Canis lupus familiaris: one gene and its partner. The protein of the gene in region 1 purifies or fractionates together with the protein of each later gene. This does not show direct contact. Links are inferred from orthologs where the notes say so. Each region holds a gene or a part of one and is shown in the gene's direction. Other genes may lie near its edges.

Region 1 (6,823 bases):
GTATTATCTCTAAAACATAAGGATTCTTGTGTATATCTTTTGATATTTTAAGAAGTTGATTTGCAGAAGTTATACTATAGTTCAGAATTTTGATCAATAATGAAACAATGTAGGGCAGCCCAGGTGGCTCAGTGGTTTAGCACCGCCCTCAGCCCAGGGCCTGATCCTGGAGACCTGGGATCAAGTCCCACATGGGGCTTCCTGCATGGAGCCTGCTTCTCCCTCTGCCTGTGTCTCTGCCTCTCTCTTTCTCTCTCTCTCATAAGATATGAATAAATAAATAAATAAAATCTTTAAAATAAAAAAAATGAAACAATGTAAATTTTAAAAATATATATATCCTTTTATTGTTCAAACACATGAAGCCTAAGGTCTGGGTACTTTTTTTGTTAAGAGAGAGAAAGAGCATGCATGAGTGGGAGTGGGGATGGGGAAGGAACAGAGAGGTGGGGAGAGAGAAAATCTTAAGCATGCTCTACCCTGGGCTGGTGGAGCCCAACCCAGGGCTCCATCTCACAACCCTGAGATCATGACCTGAGCTGAAGTCAAGAGTTGGATGCTTAACTGATTGAGCCACTTGAGGTGCCCCTAAAGTTTGGGTACTTTTTAACGTTTAAGAAAAATCAAATTTCTGTTTCTTTGGTGTGTTTTTCGTCTTTTCAGGTACGTGCTTTCCAGCATGCCTTCAGCACTAATGACTGCTCCAGGAATGTCTACATTAAGAAAAATGGCTTTACTTTACATCGAAACCCCATTGCTCAAAGTACTGATGGTGCAAGGACCAAGATTGGTTTCAGTGAGGGCCGCCATGCATGGGAAGTGTGGTGGGAAGGCCCTCTGGGCACTGTGGCAGTGATTGGAATTGCCACAAAACGGGCCCCCATGCAGTGCCAAGGTTATGTGGCATTATTGGGCAGTGATGACCAGAGCTGGGGCTGGAATCTGGTGGACAATAATCTACTACATAATGGAGAAGTGAATGGCAGTTTTCCACAATGCAACAATGCACCAAAATATCAGGTGAGAAACTGGGTAGTTTCTCAATTGTGGGCCTTTGTCAAATCATACCTTGATTTGTTCTAAATTTACACAATTTTATATAGCAGCTTTGTATGTATTTCTTTTAATTTAAAAATAAATAGTGTAACTCGCCTTTCTTTTCTACTCTAATAATCTTTTGGTATTTCCCTGTTTCCTGATACATATTTGACCTTGAGCAATCTGTTGGTCTAAGTTGGGAGTTGGCAAACCTTTCTGTACAGGGCAGGTAGTAAACATTTCAGGACTTGTGGTCACCACTATTCAAGTCTGTTGTTAATAGTACAAAAGCAGCCATAAATGATATGTAAATGAGTGAGCATAGCTGTGTTATAGTAAAACCTTATTTATGGGCCACAGGCAAGACTTGGCCCAATGACCATAGTTTCCCATCTCATGCTCTAGATTGTCATCTTTTCTATATCGTGGCACATCCAAATCTACTTTCTCTAGACTTCTTACTCCCATAAATGCACCTATGCACATGCATACAAATACCCTCTGCTATTCATTAATCTGTTTATGGATTCAAGGCCTCAGGAGGTATCAGTGATTTCTATAAGACAGGCAAATTCATGCAAACCACTGCATTTTTTTATTCTTTTCATCTTAATGTTATACCATATTCATTTGATTCTGGGGTCAAAATTATAGTTCCTATTTGTAAAAGCCATATGATTACCATAGGGTCAACGGAGTTTAAAACACAGAAATCTGATAAGAAATTGAAATTTTTAAGGAATTATAGACTTAAAGGAGTCATTTCATAATGATAAGAGAATCAAATAGGGAGATATAACAACTGTAAATATATCTGCACACAATAATAGAGCCCCAAAACACATGAAGCAAAAACTTACAGAACCGAAAGAAGGAATAGATAAATTACCAAGTATAGTTGGAAATTTCAGTACTCATTGTTTTTAAGTCTGTTTTGTCTGATGTTTTTTTTTTTTTTTTTTTGTCTGATGTTAATATAACTTTAGTTTTCTTAAGCTTACTATTGCAAGGTATCTCTTTTTCTCCATTCTTTTACTTTAATCATCTATCTTTGTCTTTAAAATGGGTCTCCTAGAGGGCATATAACTGGGTCTTCTCTAACCCAATCTTATTATCTCTGCCTATTGATTTGAGTGTTTAACCCATTTATATTCAGTGTAGTTGTTGGACTGCTTGATGTGGTCTGTGTCTTTCTATCACTGAAGCTATGTTCTTGTTTAAGAAATATTTTTTCTCCTTGTTTTTTGGACCAGATTATTTCTCTTGCTCCATCTTCAAATTTATTGATTATTTCTTCTTACCATTTCAGTTCTGCTGTTAAGCCAGGCTAGTGAATTTTGGTTATTGTACTCTTCAGCTCTAAAATTTTCATTTGGTTCTTTATTGTAGTTTTCATTTCTCTATTGAGAATCTGTATCTGTCCATCAATATTAGATTTTTCTTTAATTCTTTGCACATATTTATAATAAGTGCTTTGAATTCTTTGTCTGCCAAATCCAACATGTAGGCCTACTTGGAGTCTGTTTCTGTTGACTCTTTTTCTCCCCCAGAGTATGAATTGCACTTTTCTGTTTCTTTTCATATCCAATCATTTTTAAATTGGAAATTCTAGATAATATGTATTAAATACTGGAATCTTTTATTTCTAGAGATCATTTTATTTTTCTGAAAATTAGATGTTCTAGTTAACTTGCCTACTAGATTTGATTCTTCATCAAACTGTAAACCCTTGTCTGCCCCATGGTGTACAGCAGCTTATGTCTTTGTTCAGATTTGGGGGTTTTAGGGAAAGAGGGGTTGGCTTCTAGCTGCTGTTTTTCCAGCTTGATTCTTTGGAGATTTTCCCTGTGTCAGTGTAAGACTGTGATCACACAATGATTTGGTCAATTTATTCTCAGATTTTGGGGCTCATCCTCTTTGTGGTTCTCTTGCTTCTAGAGTTCTTCCTCTGTTTCCAGTTGCTCTGCCATCTCCCAGGTTTTGACCTCTGACACCTAAAGCTAGTATAATTTCTGCTTTTGCTCTCTGGCATGTGCATGCTGTACGCTCAATCAAAGGTGAAGCAAACTTGCAAATTTCACCAGGAGTGGTTCTGTCATTTTAGTTTCCATCTTCTGTTAAGTAGGGATAAATCTTAGGATAGATGGGAGGATTAAATGAGATAATACACATAAACCGCAAAATGAATACCCAGCAAAATATTAACTTTTCGTTTCTATTTTTTGTTGTTTGTTTTGTTGGTGGCAATAGTGATGATGGTGACGAGGATGTTCTTAGGTCCATAAAATGGGGCGCAAATTAATAAATTAGGCAAAGGGAAGAAAGAAGCAGCTGTTTGTAGTTGTCTGTGACAGAAAATACAGTGAAGGAAAGTAACAACAACAGGAATTAACATAATTGGGAAGTACTAAATTTGATTTTTTTATTGCAAATGTTAGGACTTTCTCCTCCAAGTATATAGATGTACAGCCTTTTGTAGATTCAATTATAAAAATAAAACATCCTTATTTGTCTGCTTAGTTTTCCATGTGGGAAAATATTTGGATATATTGTGCTTCTGCTTTAGTTTAACAATCAGTGCTGCTGTTTTTATAACAAACGGTGTTTCAAAGCAGTGGCCCATAAAATGACTAATACGCTTATTCTACATCTGTAGAATCTATAGTCAGGTTTGACTCTTCATGATTATGTAAGTTCCAAAGTGTATGTAGAACTGCTTTATAAACTTTATGTGTTTTTATTATAGTAATTTTTTATTGTGATAAAATATATACGTTATTTATTGTTTTAATTGTAAGTGTACGATGCAGTGACATTAGTATACTCACAATGTGTTTATCCGTCACCACTATCTATACCTAAGACTTTTTCATCTTCCCCAACACAAACTCTGTGCCCATTAAACAGTAACTTCCCATTTCTCTATTCTTAATGTTTTCAGCTTGTTGATTTGTATCTTATTTCTTCTAGCTATGCACTTGGTGAGTTTCCTTCTGACCTTTTGGTGTCTCTTTGCAGATAGGAGAAAGAATTCGAGTCATCTTGGACATGGAAGATAAGACTTTAGCTTTTGAACGTGGATATGAGTTCCTGGGGGTTGCCTTTAGAGGACTTCCAAAGGTCTGCTTATATCCAGCAGTTTCTGCTGTATATGGCAACACAGAAGTGACTTTGGTTTACCTTGGAAAACCTTTGGATGGATGACAGTGGCTTTTCTGGAATGAAAGACAGAATGGAAGAGATATCTGCTTATGGAAAGTAGAATCATGAAGTGACAGTGTCATACATGCATGCCCAAGAAACATCCTGAAAAACACATGAAATTGTTAACTGGAGAAGCAACTCTACAGCAGAGATTATCTTAGTGTATCCTCTTTCTACTGGGCCAGAAAAATCCTCAGGGTTGCAGTTGGTTGAGTGGGCAGTTGACATATGCATGTTGCAACAGATTTGGTCTCTAAGTTAGCAATGTGTTAATTTCCAACTTTTAAGGTGAGATTTTAGAGATGCTATAAAAGGGATAAGATAAGGAAATAGCAAGATTTTTAAGTAGTGTGTTTGTGAAGAAAGACTGATCCTGTTTTACAACTGCCTGTTTTTTCTCCAGACCCTTTTTCCCAGCCAGCTTGACTAATAGAAAAGTATGAAACTGGTTGGGTTTTATTTAATATTTTTAATATATTGAGAAGCATGGTCTGCCTGGACTGCACTTCTCTAACAGTGAGATGTAAAATTGTGCAGCTATTTTAAAAGTTGTATATATAATAAGTGTGTAAAAAAAACTGTAAAAAAAATAGGACAAAGGGGTTGCTTTGTTCTAGTTCAATTTCTTAAAAACCACTACATGGTACAAAATTAGAATAACATTTAGGGAAAATTAGGTAACTACAAAGAAGAGGATTTTAAGAGGAGATGTGTTATATTGGCTCATTTTTAAATTAGTTTTGTTTACAGTTTCCATAGCTATTACAGTCTGGTTATTTTTCTTTTAATGATCAAAATTATTGTAAAGATCCCTCAGTCTCCTAGTTTAAGATTGAGGCAAGGCAAATCTATTTCTAATTATACATATGTCAGTAGTAGTAATGATAATGTACGTCCTCTAGTATCTGGTTTTATTTTTTGGCCTTTTGAGAAAGTGTCTCATAACAACACAGAACATTGCCATTTGCTCTTACAGGCCTCAAATATGAAAGCTGTTAGTCACAGACCTAAGGAAAAGGATTAATGGTTCTTTTATTTTGTAACTTTATAATGCTGTAGATATTATAATTTTTTTTTAAATTTTATATTGTTTACATCATGGCAACAAAATCTAAGCCTCAAACTCTTCATTGGGGTTATCAAGAAAATGTTTACTCACCCACCTGAAACAGTGCCAGCCTGAACCCAGGTTAAGAATGTTCTTAATCTCATTATAGATAATTGCCCCCATGGGACTTGAAATAAAATACCTTGTGCTGTAAACTTCAGGTTGGCAATGTTTTGAAGGTTTCCTTATAGAAGAGCTTGACATTAATTCCTATTCTGAGTTTTTGACTAATAAATCTGATTTCACTAATACTCTTGAATTAATAACATATATGAGCTGAGATTTTCTTTTATAAGAGAAACAACCATCATCTTTCTGTATGAAAGTATATAAATACATGGTTTCAGATACATCTTTGTGATAAGAATTGACTAAGGCAGGTATAATCTTTGCCTTTGAGCTTATTGCTGTGTGTAATTTTGTTTTAAATCTAATCAAATTAGGGACAGCAAGCAGCTGGCTGGGGCTTTTGGGTTGCTCCTTGAGAGTTAAGATTATCAATATTCTTATGAAGCAGGGAATTTCAGTCATGAACAAAGATCTATTTTTGCCACCTGACAGGTTTACAAATATTTATTGTGTATTTGGTATGTTGCTTAAAAGCAAAATCTGTTAAAGATCCTTTTTAATATCCATGTCAAAAAGAACCCTCCTGGAAACCATATTTAGTAGTACAGAGTGAAATTATATGTTAAATGTATTAGAGAATATAGCTGCTACAGAAATTGATTTTTCTTGGTGTAGAACAACTCAATTTGGCAAAGTTTAAAATTTGAAGAAAAGAACTGATTCAGGATGCAGATTGATAAATGATGAAACAATGAAGTCCCTTATGTGCTTGGTGTTTTTTCAGGGTGTTGTGATATAGCCAATTCCAAGAGCTTTTGCTGAGTTTTGTTTATAACTTCTGTTTTGTCCTATTAGTATAACATTCATTTGTTACAAAGTTTGGAAGGTGCTGAATGGAAAACAGAAACACATGGTTATTGCACATTGAACCTAGAATCAAATAATTGCCTAAGTATTTAACAACAAGCCATTCTTATCTCAAAGACTTAAATTCTCTAATATGCTATTTGCAGATTTTATAAAATGGAGGTTCATATTTAGAATAAACATCAGGGGAATCAAGAGCCTTCATTTATAACCTGATTATTTTATTACTGGAGACCAATAGTAGTTGTATAGAGAATATTAAACTGTTACAATGTTTAAGGAAAAGGAATCTCTTGTTGATACTGAGAGAGCTTTCAAGTAGAATACAGTTGTACCTGAAGGTTAAGTATAAATCTTCTAAACCAGTGATTCTCACACTTAGCTTTGGAGTCATGTGCATTTTGAAAAATATTGATGTATCCTAAAATTCTGATGTTAGTCTGGGGTATGATATGATCATAAGGATTTTTTTAAACTTCCTGGGTGATTTCAGTATGCTGCTAAGGTTGAGTTTTAAATTCACCTTAAGTTTTCTCA
Region 2 (7,947 bases), on another chromosome or scaffold:
TCAGCATACAGCATACAGATATACTGCTAGTCTCCAATCTTACAGAATCTTAAAGAATAAAAAATTTCTTCTTTTGACTGTTTTCCCTGACTCCCTTTCAGTTTTTTTTTTTTGCAGCATACTCCTAACTTGTTCATACCCATCATATCTATTCTGTTTTCCTAGTCTCTTAGATCTACTTTAATCAGATTTCAATTAATAAAACTCTTGTTACTAGTGACTTCCACATTACTAAATCCAGTGGTCAGTTCTTTCTCTTCATACTATTTGATCTATCATCAACAGATGTCATTTTATATTTTCTCCTCCTGGGTATGCTTTCTTTACTTCAACGCTTCGGGGATACCACTTATTTCCAGTTCTCCTTGTTTTAGTCATCTTTGTTGGTTACTCTTTCACTCAGAATGTTGGAATGTCTTATAGGTCAGTTGTTGGAACTTTTCTTTTTCTATACTTCTAGTGGTAATTAGAATTAAAGAATTTCCCCACACACACTACACCTTTTTTTCCTGGAAAGTGGAGATTATAGAAAAGAAAATGAAATACTGCTATTTTAAAACTACTTTTCAGACTTTCAGACCCCATTTCAAAACTTACAATGAGAACTATGGACCTTTGGGGAATTTACCTCTTGTGGCAAGGGTTTGAAAAGTAGATAAGGCTGTTTTATCTGAAGACTATTGTGATATAATGTCCTTATTCTTAGGACATGATAGAAAGATGGATATTATATTTCTTAGATCTCATAAACCTTAAAGATATTTTTAAAAATTTTATATGAATGTGGGTGGTGTGTTGGCATTATTTTATGTAACCTCAAACATGTCCATATAGATAATCTGCAAAGGATGAAATTTAAGACTGAGCATTATAAAAAGATTCTATCAGATCAAATTTTAGAGTCTATAAAACATGAAAGCAGATGTGTTTGATAGAAAGCATTTGAAAAATATGATTAAAAAGTAAGTTTAAGGCACTTATGATACCGCTGCCTAAATGCAGTTTATATTTTGAAATATTATCTTCTAGTCTTTATGCAGTTTAAAAATCATGCTATGATCATATAATTACTTGTGCTTTGCCCTTAGCATAATATAAACATCCATGTTCTCACATTTTTAAAAAAAAATGCACATTGGTTTAGGGATTGCACTATAAATATCCTATCTCATGGATTCCTTTGTCTTGAACATTTGGGTTTTGGTTATTTTTATTTACGTTTATTTTCATTTTTTGCTTTTGTGGATAAAGCTGCAGTGAGCATCCTTTGCATAATTTTTTTTTCTGTTTTAGGATTACTTCCTTAGGATAGATTGCCAGAAGTGGAGTTACTGGGTCAGAGGGTATGAACTTATGAACTTTTTTTCCTTTTTTAAAAAAAATAAAAATAAGATTTTTTTTGTTTATTCGTGCTCCTGTTGTTTATATTCGTTGTGAAAAATGAAAACCATAATGATTATACTTGGTACCTGTCAGAAAACCATGTCTTAAGGCAAGGTTCTATGATTAGAGAAGTTTGGGAAATTCCTAAAGTAAAAAAAGCCTTTTTATCTTGGTTTACCTGAGCATTTCCTGAACTTAACTGATCACTGGATAGTTTTTTATGATATACTTCATAACATTTTCTGGAAGTTTTATAAAAGATAGTTTATGGATTGATAATTGAAAATCATTTTATTGGTTAAATTATGTTTTATTGGTGAAAGCAATTAAATTATGAAGCTTCAATTTAAAATTATTTTTTAAAATATTAAAATAATGTTTACCATGTGATTTTTGTGTATATCTATAAAGTCTCATAATTTCTACATTTTAAACTTCCTGTTTATTCCTAAAGAACACCTAATGTCTCAGTAGCATCAAATACTTTTTATAGTCTTTAATAAAATGTGGAATATAGACCTAGAACATAAAAATGAAAGATAATGTAAATTGTACAAACCTTTTTTCCCCCCCTCATTTTTCCCTACAGAATGTGAAATCCTTTGCATCTTCTGATAGTCTAGCCAAGGTCCAAGAAGTAGCAAGCTGGCTTTTGGAAATGAATCAGGAACTGCTCTCTGTGGGCAGCAAACGACGACGAACTGGAGGCTCTCTGAGAGGTAACCCTTCCTCAAGCCAGGCAGATGAGGAACAGATGAATCGTGTGGTAGAGGAGGAACAGCAGCAGCAGCAACAGCAGCAACAGCTCAGACAACAAGAGGAGGAGCACACTGCAAGGAATGGTGAAGTCGTCGGAGCAGAACCTAGACCTGGAGACCAAAATGATTCCCAGCAAGGACATTTGGAAGAAAACAATAATCGATTCATTTCGGTAGATGAGGACTCCTCAGGAAACCAAGAAGAGCAAGAAGAAGATGAAGAACATGCTGGTGAACAAGATGAGGAGGATGAAGAAGAAGAGGAAATGGACCAGGAGAGTGATGATTTTGATCAATCTGATGACAGTAGCAGGGAAGATGACCATACACATAGTAACAGTGTCACAAACTCCACTAGTATCGTGGACCTGCCTATTCACCAACTCTCCTCCCCATTCTATACAAAGACAACAAAAGTGAGTATATTTAGTCTGCTGTTCCCCTGAGACATTTACCTATTCATATGAATTGTGATGAAACTTTCCTCACAGTCTTTGTTACTGCTGCAAAATTAACTTCAGATGTGTAATAATAAAATGAACTAAGTTTTGTTTTATGGAAGGTATTAGAAATAGAAATACTGATAATAGGACAATCTTATTACAAATCGAAGGTAATTAATCCTATTACTATGAAAAATTATTGATAACAAATTTTATCCCTACGACAGAGGTTAGTAGTTTGTGTGCAGTGGAGAGGATTGGAGTGAAACATGTTTTATGTAAATCAAGTAGCAAAGAATCTTTTCTTATTTAAAAAACGCAGGTGGTTGGGGTAGGCTGTTTATTTACAGGTGTTACTCCAAGGCACAAATTATTGTTAAGTTTCTGTCACTACTTCCCTTATTTGCAGTTTTCATTTTCTTTCCCATTCCTAAGAGACAGCTCTGTCTGTCTGTTGTATGTGCCTCCTTATTCATTTGGCCAGTAGTAGCCCATGGAGTTAGCCATAGGCATGGTTTTTGTTTTCATTTTTAGAGAGAGAGTGTGTGCATACATGAGCAGCAGGGTGTTGGGGGAAGGGACAGAGGGAGAAAGAGAATCTTAAGCAGGTTCCACGCCCAGCATGGAGCCTGACACTGGGGCTTGACCTCATGACCTGAGCTGAAATCAAGAGTTGGTTGCTTAACTGACTGAGCTACCCAGACATCCCTTAGCCTTAGACCTATTTTAAAAGGTAGACAATTAGACTTTTGTCTAAATCAGAGAAATCTTATCAACTCTGGGACTTGGTGATAATCTAGTGCTGAGAAAAACAGTTCCACTGGACATTGTCCTTTGAGGCTCTATCAGAGAATAAGGACTGGAATATCACTGCTCCCTAGGATCATCTTTGCTACTAGATAGGCAGGGAGGTCCTGAACATTGAAGTGTGTCTGAAATAGAAGGAGGAAGTGATTGGGCAGCTGCAGTAAATTTGGAATTGCCAGTGCTTGTTCTTTGGGATGGCATGTGGGCTTCTTTCCTCAAAATATTCTTGGATATTATTATATCCTTTAAAATTATGGTTATGACAAGAGGTTGGCATTATAGAGAAAAAACAGCAGTGTTACTTCTCTCCCTAATTTTCCTGTATATTCCTCGCCCCCAGCCCTCCTTCAAATGATAGTCAAAATGAAATGATACAGTGTCTGGGCTTTGCTTCAAAATAATCCTGAAGGAGAAAAGGAAAGAGGATATAGATTGGCCATGAGTTGCTGAATATTGAAATTGGGTTCCAGAGATGGGGATGGTTTGTAGGTGTTTTTCTGTGTGGTTTTTAAAGTATGTTTAAAATATTACATAATTGAAACATTTTTAAGTTGTGAAGAATATGAGCACACACACAGACCTCAGAAAATGATAATCAAAGTTGGAAATAGGAGTTTTCTTTACATATCTTGGTCTTGTTGACTAGCTCCTAAGTCAAGTAAGTGCTGACTTCTCTATGTTGAATTTTATTTTCTTTGTATTTTGGTGCTATTGAAATTACAGGAAATTCAGTAAGACATCATGTACTTTTTGCTGGAGTTAGAATTTATTTTAATCAATATTTTAGGCAGTGTTGCTATATACTAGTCTATTTAAAGAGGAAAGAAAGTAAAAAGAATTATACTCAGAATGAATGAGGTATGTAGCACAACTTCTATCCTTTTCTTCCCCCTCAGCCTTCTACATTCATAAATCTTTGTTTGCATGCTTTTTGGTTCTTCATCATTTGAAAATTAGATAAAAATCATGAATATCCATGTAGAGTAGACTTATAAGTCAAACATTTCTTTGGAATGGAACATTTTAATTCAGTTATTCAAAATTAAAATAATGTTCATGTGGTTTATCCACTTACTCTTATTTGCTTATTTTTAAATTGAAAAGTGAATCATCTGTTTAGCCCATAATATACAAACACATGTAACATCATCTTCTTTAATGTAACTTGACCTAGAATGAATAATTTTGATGCTAGGTTTAATACTTGAATTGCTGTATCATTTTTGCTTCAGGTTGTAAAACTTTAAACTCTTCTAAAACATGTTTATCCCTGATTTCCCTAGCCTGTCTGCAAGTTTAGATTTTATTTAGTTGGTTTGATCTAAGAAGAAGCTCTACCTCTAATAGCTACAGCCCTGCTTTTTGGTAAGGCTAAGGACTTTTATAATGCAATCCTGCCAGCTTCTATCTCCCTGATCTCTTGATCTCTCTCCCTCAAGGTTACTACATCTAAAGAGGGGGTTTATGTCTCTCTTTTGTCTGAAGGTTCAGGTTGGGGAATGGGGCTTAGTATTTGGTTGTATTAGCTTATTTAAGAAAGAAGTTTAATCAAAACTAAGCCTTGTTGAAAAATGCAAAGCTATCAGCAAGTTGTGCTATATTTTAAATTAAAAACAAGAAAGCCAGCTAGACAAAACATAGCTTTTTCCAGAAGGAAAAGTCATCAGATTATTCTGCAGGAAAACTACTAGTACACAGATTTGACAGATGCTTTATCATTCTTCCCCCCCACCCTTTAAGATGAAACTGTAAATAGAACTTTTAGATATGTCTTCTTATACAGTTATTTAGTTACATCCGTAAAAGCAAAGTAACAGGGATCCCTGGGTGGCGCAGCGGTTTAGCGCTTGCCTTTGGCCCAGGGTGCAATCCTGGAGACCCGGGATCGAATCCCACGTCGGGCTCCCGGTGCATGGAGCCTGCTTCTCCCTCTGCCTATGTCTCTGCCTCTCTCTCTCTCTCTCACTGTGTGCCTATCATAAATAAATAAAATAAAATAAAATAAATTTAAAAAAAAGCAAAGTATCGATTTTAGGTCAGTTTTTTTCTAGTGTCTCTTGAGTGATGAATGCATATTATTGTGCTGTACATACAAGGCCATAGGAGTAGACTGAGTACTAGTGACAGCAGGAATTAGATGTATATATGTGCATAGGTGTTTGTGTGTGTGTGTGTGTGTGTGTGTGTATCCTGGTGTACACACTTTGGATGTATTTATTGTTTATTTTGAGGTCATTTTCCTGCACAGATATGGCAAGAAGAATATAAACTATTTGACTGCCAAGGCAACGATGCCCCTCTGCAGAGTAGTATTTCAGGTTAAAATTGGCCCATTTTCCTTTTTCTCTTTTCCTGGATCTCTTCTTTACAATTGTTCCCAGAGTACTTTATTTTTTCACCAACACTTTAAAGATGTCACATATTACTTCATTGCTTATAAAGAAAATGTCAGTCACCCATGTATATAAATCTTTTTAATACAGTAAATGAGGAAAAGGTCTCATTATTTTATAGATTTTATTTTAGAGCAGCTTTAAATTCTTGATTATTATAAACATAAAACACTTCTATAGACATTACTCTGGGCCACAGTTTTAAGACTTCTTAAATCGTGACTTTTGAAGAGAGTAAAGGTATAAGAATCATTTAAAAAATCCCTTTCTTTTCACCTTAATATGGGATTAGCAGGATGCCTGAGTGCCTCAGTGGTTGAGCTTCTGCCTTCCGCTCAGGGCATTATTCCAGAGATCAAGTCCCACATCAGGCTCCCTGAGGGGAGCCTGCTTCTCCCTCTGCCTGTCTCTGCCTCTTTCTGTGCGTCTCTCATGAATAAATAAATAAAATCTTTAAAAAAACATACGGAATTAGCCTGTAGTTTTACCCAAAATAGCTTTCAAGTGTGGTGTTTTTCTTTTGGTTGTGTTTTTGGTTTTGTTTTGTGTGTGTGTGTGTGTGTGGCAGTTTCTTAAACATTCCCTGTGGACAGCTATGCTTATTTGTTGGTCATTTCTGAACATGTTGTTTTTCAAATATGGTAATGAGAAAAACCATTTTTGTCCTTCCTGGCATTGGTCTTTTCTTTGAAAACATACTAAAAGTATCAGTCTTTTTTTCTCCTCTAGTCACCAAAGATTTGTTTGTATCGGAGGCTATGCAATAATATACATTAAAATTTCAGACCATTTTAATGTTAAAATTCAAGGGTACTGGCAGTCAAGAATTGGTATTTATTAAGTCCATACTGTTTGCAAGTCCCTACGATAGATAAGTAAATAAAAGTAAGAAAGCCCAAATGATTCACCCAAAAATCAAACTCAAAGTGACCAGAGATTTGATTTGATTTGATTTGATTTTTTTTTGAGGGCAGTTTTGTTTTATTAGGCTTAGAGTAGCATTCACCATTTACATAGCCCTTTAGAGTTTACAATTTACTTCCACATCCTTAATCATATGACAAGACTATGACCAGCGATTTTAATCCAGATCTGCCTAATTTCAGAAATCCCCCTTTCTCTCCATGTGCTATGCTGCCCCCTGTGGTAGAATTTTGCCAACATTACTACATGAGATTTTCAGCATAACTGCCGGTGTGTTTAGGTTCTAGACTCTGGAGTGTGATGTCTTTCTAATACCATGTCATATTTGAAATCATCAGAGCTACCCTTTAGTGAAGGTTCAGAGGGTTCAATTAACTGCTTTACTTTGTGGTATCTAACAAAGATTTTTGAAGATATGAAGGCTTGAGGCTAAATTGTAACAAGAAGAAATGATGGTGAAATTTGAGATTGGAGAACAGGTATCACTTTTTCCAGAGTACATCAAACTTATTTCTTTTTTTAAAATTTTATTTATTTATTTATTTATTTATTTATTTATTTATTTATTTATCTATCTATCTATCTATCTATCTATCTATGTATCTATCTATCTATCTATTTTTTATTGGTGTTCGATTTGCCAACATATAGCATAACACCTAGTGCTCATCGCATCAAGTGCCCCCCTCAGTGCCCGTCACCCAGTCACCCTCAGCCCCTCACCCACCTCCCTTTCTACCACCCCTTGTTCGTTTCCCAGAGTTAGGAGTCTCTCATGTTCTGTCTCCCTTTCTGATATTTCCCACTCCTTTTTTCTCCTTTCCCCTTTATTCCCTTTCACTATTTTTTATATTCCCCAAATGAATGAGACCATATAATGTTTGTCCTTCTCCGAGTATTTCACTCAGCATAATACCCTCCAGTTCCATCCACGTCAAAGCAAATGGTGGGTATTTGTCATTTCTAATGGCTAAGTAATATTCCATTGTATACATAGACCACATCTTCTTTATCCATTCACCTTCGGTGGACACTGAGGCTCCTTCCACAGTTTGGCTATTGTGGACATTGCTGCTATAAACATCGGGGTGCAGGTGTCCCAGCTTTCACTGCATCTGTATCTTTGGGGTAAATCCCCAGCAGTGCAATTGCTGGGTCGTAGGGCAGATCTATTTTTAACTCTTTGAGGAACCTCCACGCAGTTTTCCAGAGTGGCTGCACCAGTTCACATTCCCACCA

Evidence for each region.
Region 2: the proteins of FBXO45 (region 1) and FBXW7 purify together in Homo sapiens (affinity purification with mass spectrometry; 4 studies listed by BioGRID and IntAct, counting the BioPlex papers as one, with this or other methods). This does not show direct contact. The link is inferred for Canis lupus familiaris from reciprocal best matches to the Homo sapiens genes FBXO45 and FBXW7.

Annotation. Positions count from the first base shown.
Region 1 is NC_049254.1:30,333,293-30,340,115, forward strand, and holds part of FBXO45 (F-box/SPRY domain-containing protein 1), read left to right. Parts: intron 1-663; coding exon 664-1,020; intron 1,021-4,056; coding exon 4,057-4,242; 3' UTR 4,243-6,823. UniProt on the Homo sapiens protein: Component of E3 ubiquitin ligase complex consisting of FBXO45, MYCBP2 and SKP1. Functions in substrate recognition but also plays an important role in assembly of the complex.
Region 2 is NC_049236.1:50,631,268-50,639,214, reverse strand, and holds part of FBXW7 (F-box/WD repeat-containing protein 7), read left to right. Parts: intron 1-1,293; 5' UTR 1,294-1,343; intron 1,344-1,972; 5' UTR 1,973-2,041; coding exon 2,042-2,557; intron 2,558-7,947. UniProt on the Homo sapiens protein: Substrate recognition component of a SCF (SKP1-CUL1-F-box protein) E3 ubiquitin-protein ligase complex which mediates the ubiquitination and subsequent proteasomal degradation of target proteins.